Linked DNA regions of Drosophila melanogaster. The protein of the gene in region 1 interacts with the protein of each later gene in a biochemical or structural test. Each region holds a gene or a part of one and is shown in the gene's direction. Other genes may lie near its edges.

The links.
Region 2: of the proteins of Syt4 (region 1) and Snap25, one has a biochemical effect on the other in vitro, tested with the Drosophila melanogaster proteins (one study listed by BioGRID).

Annotation. Positions count from the first base shown.
Region 1 is NT_033777.3:7,264,086-7,271,407, forward strand, and holds Syt4 (synaptotagmin 4), read left to right. Parts: upstream 1-1,979; 5' UTR 1,980-2,103; intron 2,104-2,710; 5' UTR 2,711-2,767; coding exon 2,768-2,810; intron 2,811-3,583; coding exon 3,584-4,770; intron 4,771-4,969; coding exon 4,970-5,044; intron 5,045-5,107; coding exon 5,108-5,227; 3' UTR 5,228-6,724; downstream 6,725-7,322.
Region 2 is NT_037436.4:24,072,286-24,077,336, forward strand, and holds the start of Snap25 (Synaptosomal-associated protein 25kDa), read left to right. Parts: upstream 1-1,894; 5' UTR 1,895-2,025; intron 2,026-5,051. UniProt on the Drosophila melanogaster protein: May play an important role in the synaptic function of specific neuronal systems. Associates with proteins involved in vesicle docking and membrane fusion.

The DNA of each region.
Region 1 (7,322 bases):
CGATCCCCCTAGACATTGAAACCTTCTTCCACATTCGCTGGCCACTGTTTGCCCTCAATAAAGTTGATGGATCATCGCCGCCCCATTTGATTTGCTCTCGTCAATAAAAAAATTTATGGAAAAAACAAGCGAATTTAAAAGGCCCTAAAACGAACATCGAATCCGATATGCAAATCGAGATACCTTATTTCCAGGCACACAAATGCGAACTCTTTTTTAATGGGTTCAGGTGTAAATGTGCGAGCATAGGAATTATTTGTTGATTTGTTCAAAAGAAATGTGTAAGTCCTGTGCGTTTTTAGCTCAAAGCTCCTTTGCAAAAGTTAACATTTTGTTGGGAATCACTTTTTTTATTTTGCTACCCTCTTCATGACTGTAATGTTTACTATAATGATTATATATTTTAGAGATTCCGTTGAAATTGTGTATATCAGCTCATTTCATTTAAAAGGAAAGGTGTTACTAATTTGTTGGGGATTTTGATATTTGTCATGACTAATCATTGATTATAAATATTTCTCCTCTGTTTATATTAATAGAAATATCGTTTGAAATAAGAAATAATACTGACTCAAACGTAATTTATGAAAAAAAAGTAGGCTTATTAGCCTGAATATGTCGGTTTCAAAGCTAGCACCAAACGGAAATTGGGATCGAAAGAAATGTGCTCAACATAAATAAGCGCAAGTAGTTTGTCTTTTACAATACGACTCATTCCGTCAAAATGAGGTGGTGGCTAATAAGCGGTGGAATCGGGTGAGAAACCGGGCTAATTTCCTAATACTGCAATGGACGTTTAATGAACTGGCTGGTATCGTAAAACACCTAAATGTGGGCACTTTTTCATTCGAATAATACCCTGGGTAATTGAGCACAAAATCGAACAGATTAGTGGTCAAATGGCAGACAATGGGTGACCGTTTTTGATATGTGTGGAAAAAGAAATATAAACCAGTAACTAAATTAGAAACGTGTCTAGAGCAGAAATCGTGAGGCATACTGTGCTCTGTGCCAGAAAAACAAACGAATCGAATTGGAGCTATTGCAAACAAAGTGCAGTAAATTTATCGCCGTGAGCCATCAGAAGACCGAACAAAATTCCGTTTCTTGGGCTTATGACAATGGCAAATTTCCAGCAGACTTCGGGCCAAAAAGCTGTCCAAATCTTTTGAGATTCCTCAATGCCAGAAACGGACATCGCGAATTTTTGGATTTTGGGGTTGTGCAAAAACCGAAAAGGCAGCAAATAATAGAAATAAAGACGATTGCATCAACTTACGATCGTAGAGTCCGGTGATGTGGTGTCTAGTTTCCTTTTATGCTTTAAATATTGAATTAATTGTTTATTCCTTATAGAAAATGCCTCGGGAAAATTTTTCAATGGCCCGAAGACGACAAAAACGTGTGTGCTATCTGCTGTCAGCAAGTTTTTCTGAGCCGCTTTTTTTTATCACACAAAAACACTGGCAGCGCTGCAAAATCGTTTTTAAGCCCTGACTTCTAGGGTTTTTGTCAGTTACCCGTATTGATCACTGCACTTGGATGGGCTTTCTGTTGGTCTCTTTCTCAACTTGTTCGAACTGCGCGCAGACGCAGACCGTTACCGACTCAGCTTCTGACCAGCAGGCGCCAGTCTTTTTAAACTGACGAAAAGCTCGAACTCAACGAAAGACAGCTTAAAGCTGGCCGCAAAGCTGCGCTCTCTGAAACTTGGTCTGAACCGGGAGCTTTTGAGTGTTTGCAATGAGTAGGTCTAAATTGGTCTAAATTTTACCTTTTTATAACTTTTTATGTATTTTATTACTCAACCCTTTACTCATGAATATGGTCTAGTGTTGTAAAACTTTCTTTAAGCACCCCTGACTTCGGCTAAGACGTCACAGGTTTCTTCAACCACCGCTTTCGGCTAAACAACCCACACAAAAAGCTGCTTGCTCGTGCGCCTGCGCGAGTTTAACGATTTCCCAGCCAAGTTAAGAAGCCACTGGCAAAATAAAGTCGAACGGCTGCAGAACTGCGTTGTTGATTTTTTTTCCACAATTTGTGGATGTGAAAAATATTACAATTTTTGGATATTAATTGTGCAGGACCAGATACAAAAAAGTAAGGCTATAATACATTCAAGCAAGTAAAATGTAGGCGTAAACAGGATTACGAGGAAAACGTAAAAACTATCAAGTGGCTACTATGGCTTTTCCGAGAATCTCTGATGCTGCAATAAACAATAGATACAGATACTGGAAGTGATAGTAAAAGGGAATATTTTCAAAACGTTACGAAGACCTAAATGAAAGAAAGGAACATTTCTAAATGTGGGACTTCCCATTAAAAATGGTTTCCAGAAGTTGAAAAACCTGCAAACTTCGTGTGCGTGTGTGCAAGGGCTGCGATGATTCATGCGACCCTAGAAGAGCACCCAAGTGGCTCATATGTGTGTGTGTGTGTGTGTGTCTCTCCCGCTCTCTTGCCAGAAAGTGTGCCTGAGTGGGTGTCCTCAAGTAATGCAAATAACAACAAAAGCCAAACGTCAGCATAACCTGAGCAGAAAGCAGGCAGCTGCTGCTCACGAAAAAGCCTCTAGCATACATTTGTGCGCAAAATCGAAGCACGCAATTCTTCACGTGCCACCGAAAGTTGCAAACATCCAAAGACAGCCAGCAAAACTTTTCCTCCTCACTTTTAAACCGTGACTAATTGTTATTCCACACAGCCGCCAGGAACATCGAGTGGAAACGTGCTGAGAGCGGCTAAGCCAAATCCATTTAAAATGGCCGAAGAGTATATCCCAGATGCCAGCGTCATGGACACGAGTAAGTACCATACCATATTGCAGCATCCAATGCGACCTTAGTGGTCGATCAGTCCAATTTGCTCATTAGCAACTTGTTCAAAATGTTGCACACAAGTTGTGCCAAACTTTTTCGGTGGCTATGAATAATTAATTCGGGTCTTTGTGCCTGGATTGTCAGGTTTCGAAGGGGATACGTGCACATGTGTTATTTGTTGTGCTCTTTTATTTGGGGTGAAATGTATAAGCTCAAAACGAATTGGCGAAAGTTAATGTTCTAATAACAAAGGAAGTCTACAAACAACTCACAGCTGTGTTAGGGAGAAAAGTTCTTTCTATTTTTTCATTTCGGTGACTAATTACAGAACATATTCAAAAGTGTGATTAAACGTTTTCTTTTGTGTTTTCGGATATTAGTAAAAGATAGAAAATAAAACGCTTTTTGTTATTATTGGATATTTAAATTTAATATTCGGTATTAGATTTATAATGATAAAATGTTCTATATAATTTTCTATTATGTTTTAAATTCTTTTAATTATCCCATTATATAATTTTGAGATTGCATATTGAGCGTCTATATATGTAATCTGGAATGGGGTGCTAGTGCTAGTTAACAGTGGGTTTTTCAAAACTTCCAACACAATACGAGTAAATTTTACTTTTGTTTATGGCTTTAAGGTTACACTAGTGACATTGTCCCATCACCACCTTGCACATATTTCAATCGAAGACAACGTTTTGGGTACAACTAAACTATGCATATGTTGCCTAACATACCTGTTGTCCTTTCAGTTGTCCCCGCCATCCTGGGACTGACTGCGGCTGCTGTCCTCTCGTCAGTGGCCTGCATCTGCGCCCGGCAGATGCGCCTCCGGAACAAGAAACAGAGCCAGCACGACGCCTCGTTCCCCTTCCAGCCGACCCGGCGACCGACCGCCGTTCGATCGCCCAGCGGCCAGCCGCCGCACTACTTGAAGAAGTCGCCCTCGCCGACGGGAGGCAAGCAGATGGGACTGCTGTCGCCGATGCAGGACCAGTCCACCTCCCCGATTGCGCAACCGAATGTCAAGTACAGCGAGGAGGGAGATGGACCCGCCCAGCATGCGGAGCAGCAGAATGGCAATCAACTGACCGTGGTGGATGGTAATGGGTTGAAGCACTCGCTGCACAACAGCCTTCACCACTCGCCGGTAGAGACGATCGCCAACGGAAGTGTGACCATTACCCTGGACGACCATTCGCTGACCAACGGGAAGGAGCTGACCGTGACCGACCAGTACGGCAAGCTGGGTACCATCTATTTTAAGCTGCGCTACTTGGCCGAAAGGAACGCCCTTATGGTGTCCATCATCCGTTGTCGCGGACTCCCCTGCAAGGGAGGATCGAGCGGAACCGGAGATATTCCCACTGGCATGAATGGACGCACTCAGGCGGCAACGGATCCGTATGTCAAGCTGCAGCTGCTGCCGGACAAGCAGCACAAGGTCAAGACCCGGGTGGTGCGAAATACCCGGAACCCGGTTTACGACGAGGACTTCACCTTCTACGGCCTGAACATGAACGACCTGCAGAACATGTCGCTGCACTTTGTCATCCTCAGCTTCGATCGATACTCACGTGACGACGTCATTGGCGAAGTGGTGTGCCCATTGACCTCCATCGAGATCGGGGACATCTCCAAAGAGGCTTTGTCCATCAGCAAAGAGATCCAGCCACGGAGCTTGAAGATTCGAGCCCAGGGTCGCGGGGAGCTGCTCATCTCCCTCTGCTGGCAACCAGCTGCCGGTCGCCTCACCGTCGTCTTGCTGAAGGCCCGAAACTTACCGCGCATGGATGTCACCGGACTGGCCGATCCGTATGTTAAGATATATCTCCTCTACAATGGCCAACGCATCGCCAAGAAGAAGACGCACGTGAAGAAACGAACTCTGAGCCCCGTTTTCAACGAGAGCTTCGCATTCGATATTCCCGCCGCCGAAGTGAGTAATAGTATATTCATTTACTATTTGTTTGTAGTTTAACGAAACACCATATCAATTACCTAGCATAGATTAATTGTTAATTGTTTTCTTGTGTTCGTATAATTATCATAGAACTTAAACATGGACGGACTATTTTTGAAAAGCTTTTATAATAATTTTAAAGAATCATAAGTTAACGTGCATATCTCAATTACAGGGCGCTGGCGCCAGTCTTGAGGGTGTGTCTTTGGAACTGATGCTGCTCGACTGGGATCGCGTGACCAAGAATGAGGTAAGTCGCATGGGATGACCTAATGCCAATAGCTGGATAATTGCACGCTCGATATTTCCACAGGTCATCGGTCGGCTGGAGCTGGGCGGCCCGAACTCGAGCAGCACCGCCTTGAACCACTGGAACGAGGTTTGCAACTCGCCGCGCCGCCAGATCGCCGAGTGGCACAAGCTGAACGAGTAGGGGAGGGGCAGGAACCTCCTGGGCGCAGGCGCCCCTTAATGAGGGGGAAGGGAGCAGGAGCAGGCAACCGAAATGGGAGTCATGTGACCTCGTTGCCACCATGAATTTCTCTTTGGTTTTTGGCATATGATTGCATATTGATTGAGTTTATTTTCTACTTTCTACTTTATATTTCACTTGATTTCTGGGAGATCACTTGCTTTGAGTTTGAAGCAAGATTAATGCGAGATAATTGGCCGTTAACGCCACAAGCAGAAAAGAAATATTTACCAAGCAACCACTAACTAAATTAAATGTATTAGAAAATGTTTAGGACCCTAAAAGTGCATGTAAGTGTAAGATAATTCAGAAACATCTCAATATAGACATGTTTAAATATGAGAATAAGCAAGGCAGGGGAATTCTCAATATATTTTAAACTGACACCGACTTTGTTGCTATATATTCATGTATGATTTTCATATCAAATAGTTGAAGTTATATTTAATGTGCCCACCACTGAAGTTGATTTCCTCAAAAGATATATTATTAACCATACATCTGTATAAAATATTTATGATATCTAACGTTTAAGCATACATATGTCTGTACAATTTAATTTTAATTATTTGAATATTTTAGTTTGATTGTAAAGACCTAAAGTATACCATCGCTTTAATGGATACAAGACATCAAATTTGCACACCCCGGAAGCTCTTAAAGTTTTGTCCAGAACGAAGCAAAGATAGATGCTTACTGCTTAACACTTTATACGTACTCTTAAAAATAAAAACAAATAACTAAAACTAATGAAACAAATAAAACTAAACCAAATTGAATCTAGAGAGAACACGCAGCAGAATGCTTAGCACCAAGAAGCTACAAAACCACACACAAATCGATCGAAAAAGTCAGAAAACATTGATTCGGAGAGGAAACCAACACAATACAATAATGTAAGCAGCATAGTACATGTAGGAATCAATTACCAATAACATACTCTAGAGTATAACCACTCACGAATAGCTCAAACCGAACGCAATAAGCACTACAGGTGTATCTAGCGGCACTACCTTTAAAGGCAACGGATGGAGGAGACCCCGATGAAAGCATAGCTTAACGAAGACACCGAATCATTATCCACTACTGATATTAAGTGTACTGAATACAATTATAAACTATACCAGATCTATATAGACATCAGCCCGCTTCTACGTATATTTTGTAAACTGAGTGTTAGAGCATTAAACTTCATTGAATAACTACGTGCATACAACCATAAGGATATATACAAGCATACATAGCGATTCGCGAGAATCGCAGATACAACTTCAATTCGTGTCCAATCAAAACTTCAATTCGTCTAATGGAAAAACAATAATTACCAATACATATGCAAAGAGTTTGTGCAGAGGAACCCAAATTATATGAGATGTGTATAATTCTACATTATATGTAATTGTAATTGTAAGCTACATCAAATGGTTAATTTCAGTAATAAAAGGTATTATATAAAACAATGTGCACTGCGAATTATTTGCATTAATACGTGTCTTATCAGCTCTCTTAATTCTGTGAGTATACTATAGTTAACAGAGTTTAAAGCACTGATAAGAGGAGATTCTTGCTTATACAAAAGAGTACAGACTAACAGATACCTATTATATCATTGGATTGCACATTTCTGCTTTCCTTACTATTAGATGGGTCGCTTGCCTTGAAGTCTAATACTAAAAACAATAATTGGCAATTGTTTGCCAGATGAAAGTTCCGATCGGCCAGATCAAAGGTTCGAATTATGCTATAGCAAGGTCTGCGATGAGGAGGGTTTTTATGGTGGGTGTTTAAATGGAACTCTAAATTGCGATAGAAAGATCGACTGTTGGGATGGAAGCGATGAAAATAAGTTCGAGTGCTTGCATGATGCAAATCTAAAGAATGAGTACGAAGACCTCAAAGGGAACTGTATGTAAGTTGTATTTGCTATGAAACTCAATTGGTTGAGTTTGAGTATGTTCACGTTAGATGCTGTCCTAGTATAACAACTAATTTATCTTATAAATTGCCCTAACATACTTACATAGTAAGTTTACCTATGGGACGACGTCCCATACTT
Region 2 (5,051 bases), on another chromosome or scaffold:
TTCAAAGATCTCTCTTTATTAGCCACCAAAATTGTTTATGGGACTTAGATCTGGACTATTTGATGGCCAATCTAAAGCGTAACTTTTGTATATACAGCTGCGTTTAAAACAATAGCACTACTGCAGGTGGAAAGTTGATTTCGTAAAAAAAATTATTAAATGTTTATTTTTTTTTTTAAGTCAGATTGTATGAATAATAAGTACCATATGTTGCATCTCTGAGCAAGAAATTTTTACTCTTTCAATGTAACGGTTCTTTTTTGTTTTTGGGCACTTGCTGCAAAAGTGCCCAAAATGAGGCGGTAACAAAAATAGCACTGACCACGTATTTGCTGAATAAAATTAATAGGGGTGATTACTTTGGTTTTTTTTCGACAAATTTTGAAAAACGGAGTTGCACTAAAGGTTTTAATTGAATTTTTTCCAAACGAAGACCAAAAATTCTCTAGTCATGGGTCGCGGAAAGCATTGTACCGTCGAAAAAAGAAATTTGATTAAAAACATGATCTCTGAAGGTAAAACCTACTCTGAAATTGGTCGCATTGTCGGTTGCTGAAACAAAATGATCCGCAAAGCACTGCTGTTTGTCGAAAAGAACGAAACATGGAAGAAGGAGCTTCAGATAGCTAAAAGCGTGGAAACTGTTCGCAAACGCTTAGGACAAAGCAACCTTAATGCGTGCAGCCCCAGAAAAGTCCCGCTTTTGACTGTTAAGCATGTGGCAAAGCAATTTGAATATGACAAGATACACAAGGACGGGCCTGTGGAGAAGTGGCGAAACATTTTTTGGTCAGATGAAAGCAAAATTGTGTTGCTTGGTGGGAAAGGCTCTCGGTCTTATGTTCGGCGTCCACCACGAACTGAATATAATCCTCGTTACACCTTTAAGAAATTTAAAAATTGTTTAAAAGGGTGGGCGTTTTGTTGTTGAAAGTGGGGGGTGGGCCACAGTGTTACGTTGCTGTTTGGGTTAATAGTTTCATGATACGCACTTTGAAAAATGGAAAAGTCACTGTCACTATCTATCTATCACTATCTATGTATCTGTAAATAGAAAAATATTTTATAAAAAGTCTTGAAACTATTAACCCAAACAGCAACGTAACAGTTTTTATAATTAAATTAAAGGACATTAACTATTACGCTGAATTCAACACATAAAGGTATCGAAAAAATTATACGAGTTTTTGAAAAAACCCACTATTTTCCCGACTATAATACATATATTCAAAAAATCATTGATGTTTTCAAAGTCTGCAATCTTGCAAAAACAGTACGTAGACCAACGAAACTTATTTTTAAACTCCAGAGACAAAAAACTGAAGAGAACTTTACGTTATTGATATTAATGCTAGACAATAAAGAATATTTATCCTGTATTGACGTCTACTCAAAATGCATCCCCTATAAAAACAAAGAGATTGGTTGGAGATTGTTTGTCTTTCAAATTTTTACCAAACACTGTGGCCACGTTCCTCCTTTCACCTACACAACGCCCAAAACGGTAACGCCCACACTTTCAAACATATTTTTTTAAATTTTTTCTCATTTCATTCCCCAATATCTATCGATATCCCATACAAATGACGAAATTTCGCGTTTGCATTCCCTCAAGCTGAGTAACGGGTATCTGATAGTCGGGGTAACCAACTATAGCAATCTCTCTTGTTCCATTTCCAGACTATTACATCTGTTTATTCGAATTCGGAATATCATCAAGAGTAGCTGGGAGTATCATATCATCAAGAGTACGGGTATTAATTAGTCACGGGAGTGGACGGTATTTGATGGTCGAGGAAGTGGACTATTGCGTTTTCTCCTGGTGGGAACAATATAAATAATACACTTAAACATTCGTATAAGCCCTGCGCGCGCACGTGTTTAAGGCTAAAAGTGTCATAGCTGAACCACCTGATTTTGTTTCAATTTGGTGTTTAATATTTATACAGTTCTGTGTGTTTTGGTATCAAAAGATACGGGAAAAATATTCGTTTTTATTCTTCTAACAGCTATTTAAAAAGTCAGGTACTACAAAAGAAAATGCATATATTTTTTTGTGTACATCGCAAGCAAAACACGGCCTAAAAATGGCATGGCATAAATTTAGCATGTCAAAACTATTTGTAAAAACAGTATGGACTAGTGTGATTTCGATGGTTTCTTTTATTTTTGAAATCTTTCGCAAGAAAATAAATCGATTTGTATAATGTTAAATGGAAATACAGTTTAATAATTGGTTTTTGATATATGACCACGAATAAAAGCTTACAATAATAATCAAAAACTAGAGAGAATGCTATAGTCTAGTTACCTGACTATCAGCTACCCGTTACTCAGCTAGTGTTAATGCGAACTCCAAATTTTTTCTTGGATATCGATAGATATTGAGGAATAAAATGAGAAAAAATTTTAAAATTGTTCCAAAGTATGGGCCTGACCGGTTCGGCGCCTTTAGGGCGTTAGATAGAAATTTACAAGACTAATAAAAACGCAAAAAATATCAACACATCCTTTAAAAGTTTCTGAGATCACGACATTCATACGGGCAGACGGACATGGCTAGATCGACTTGGCTATTGATCATCACTACTCGTAGAGTAATTTAATAATAGTAATATTTTAATAATTTTATTTGTCTGGTAAATTTCTATCGATTTGCAAAAAATCTTTTTGAAACGCCCACTCTAACGCCCTAAAGCCACCGAACCGGTCTTGGCCCGAACCACTTTGGACCAATTTTTAATTTTTTTCATTTTATTCCCCAATATCTATCGAATTCCCAGAAAAATGATGCAATTTCGGGTTTGCTTTCACACTAGCTGAGTAACGGGTATCTGATTGTCGGGGAACTCGACTATAGCATTCACTCTTGTTTTATTTAACTACGATAAATCTGTATTAATTTCAGTTGCTATGTAGGTATATTTTGGTTTCTTATATTTTTTAAGGAAAGACAAACACATGCAAGAAATACATAATAATTTAATTTAAATTACAAGCACTAGAAAATCTTAAAAACAATTTGCAAATTAATTACAGTAAAATAACATTGCTGTTAAGCTTAAATATTGGTAAAAATAAAATAGAAAGAAAGCGAAAAACGCATTATTAATGTAAATTTATACTTATTAAAAAAACTCTAATACAATCCCTCATAAGAAAGCCATTACTAAATATCTTAGATACCAGAAAACATTGACGATCGTAACGATCCTAATTTAAAAAAGACAGAATGCTAGAGCAGAGGTTAACGACCTCCAGATACCCGTTATTTAGAGTGCGCGCTTGAGTATGCGTGGCTAAAAGTTTTTTGGCATGGAAGAAAATATTAATCTATCACTAAGGAAATCAATTCACTTCGACGAAATCAAGGCAATCGCAAATGTAGGATCATCAGAACTGCAAGCCCAACTACTCAATGGCGAATGCCTTGTTATCTCCACCCCGTGGGAAATCACAACTTTCAATACAACAAGTATGACCACATCAAGCATATCCACTGCATATCCACACATATCCATTTCACCGATCTCCCCGGTTCTGCCTAGAGCATGCCAAGAAGTACGCCACAAAAGCGACTCCATTCTTTTCCCCAAAATAACACATGGAACACGCCTTTGCAGTCGCTAAAGGCTTATAAACGATTTGTGCGGTTATCGCCCTGCAGATAAGGATGCCCCCCCACTTCGCAAGCCGCGATCGATCTTGGCAAACTGAAGCCTGCAATAATTAATACACCTGCTCCCGGCGCACCCCCACCTACTCGCCGTCTACCTAAAGTACTGCGGATCACGGTCCCCGGCGTGGTCAACTTTTTGACGTTCTCCAGCGAGCTGGACGCCCTCATTGGAGATTCATGCACAATACAAATATTAAATTTATATATATAAAATAAATATTAGTTAAAGATTAGTGATTTACTGACGTGATCCTGCGGCCTCATGATATCCAAATCAAAGGAAACAAAACCGGCAAAGGTGAACGAATTGATGACGAAACTAGGAAATGATGAAATTGATACTGATGTTTACGAAATATTGGATCAAAACGCAAGCACAAGTATGCAAACTCAAATCAATGATTTAAAGGAGATGCGTGGAGTTGCAAAAACATGTATGAATGCACAGCAGGTATATCGATCATTCAAAATCATTCAAATCGGCATTCGCACTTGATTTTCCAAGTGTGATGAATACAGCCGATGTGCAAAGAGATTTATTGCGACGATAGCGACGCAATAGCGAGTCATTCATCGAATACTTTTATGCGATGTTATGTATCGGACGACGTGGGAGTCATCAATAAATTCATATATTTTCAGCGGACTTAATTCACAAGAACTCACGAAAGCCTTATTAGCAATGGACATACGCACTTGAACAAGGTAACAGCAATGAAAAGCAACAGCAAAATGAACGGTGTTCCAAATGTTCTAGGATTGGGCATAATGAACAGGATTGCAAGGTGAAAACATCGTCAAAGAATGCTCAAGTGCATGAGGCAAAACATAAGGAGTATCCGCCAATAGTAAAAACAGTTCTGATTGGAGATCAAAAGTTTAAAGCGTTCATCGACACGGTCAACTCAACGTTAATACGAACATTAACAATCTGTTAAAATCCTATGAAGAATGTTTTGAAAAAGATTGGATCGAAAATTGGCAGGTGCAAGACGACGACGATGGTTATAGTGGTATCCATTACGAGTGCCTATGCGTGGACTACCGGGCTTTAAACGCTCTATTTGATGCCAATCGTAGAGGAACAATTGGCCCTGCTATCCGGAAGCATATACTTCAAGACGCTGGACCTCTGGTTATTACCAGGTCCCGATGGACGAGAAAAGCAAGCATTTAACGGCATTTATGACACCAAGTGGACTGAATTAATTTTATGTGATGCCCTTTGATCTGGTGAACGAACCTATGGTCTTTCAGTATGATTGCTTATCCAATGAGCAATTTATTGAAAAAGGATGTGGAGTTCGTATGGGGAGAAGATTAAAGGAAGCCTTAGCAACGAAGCCGGTGTTCACCCAGTAAAGAAGTACAC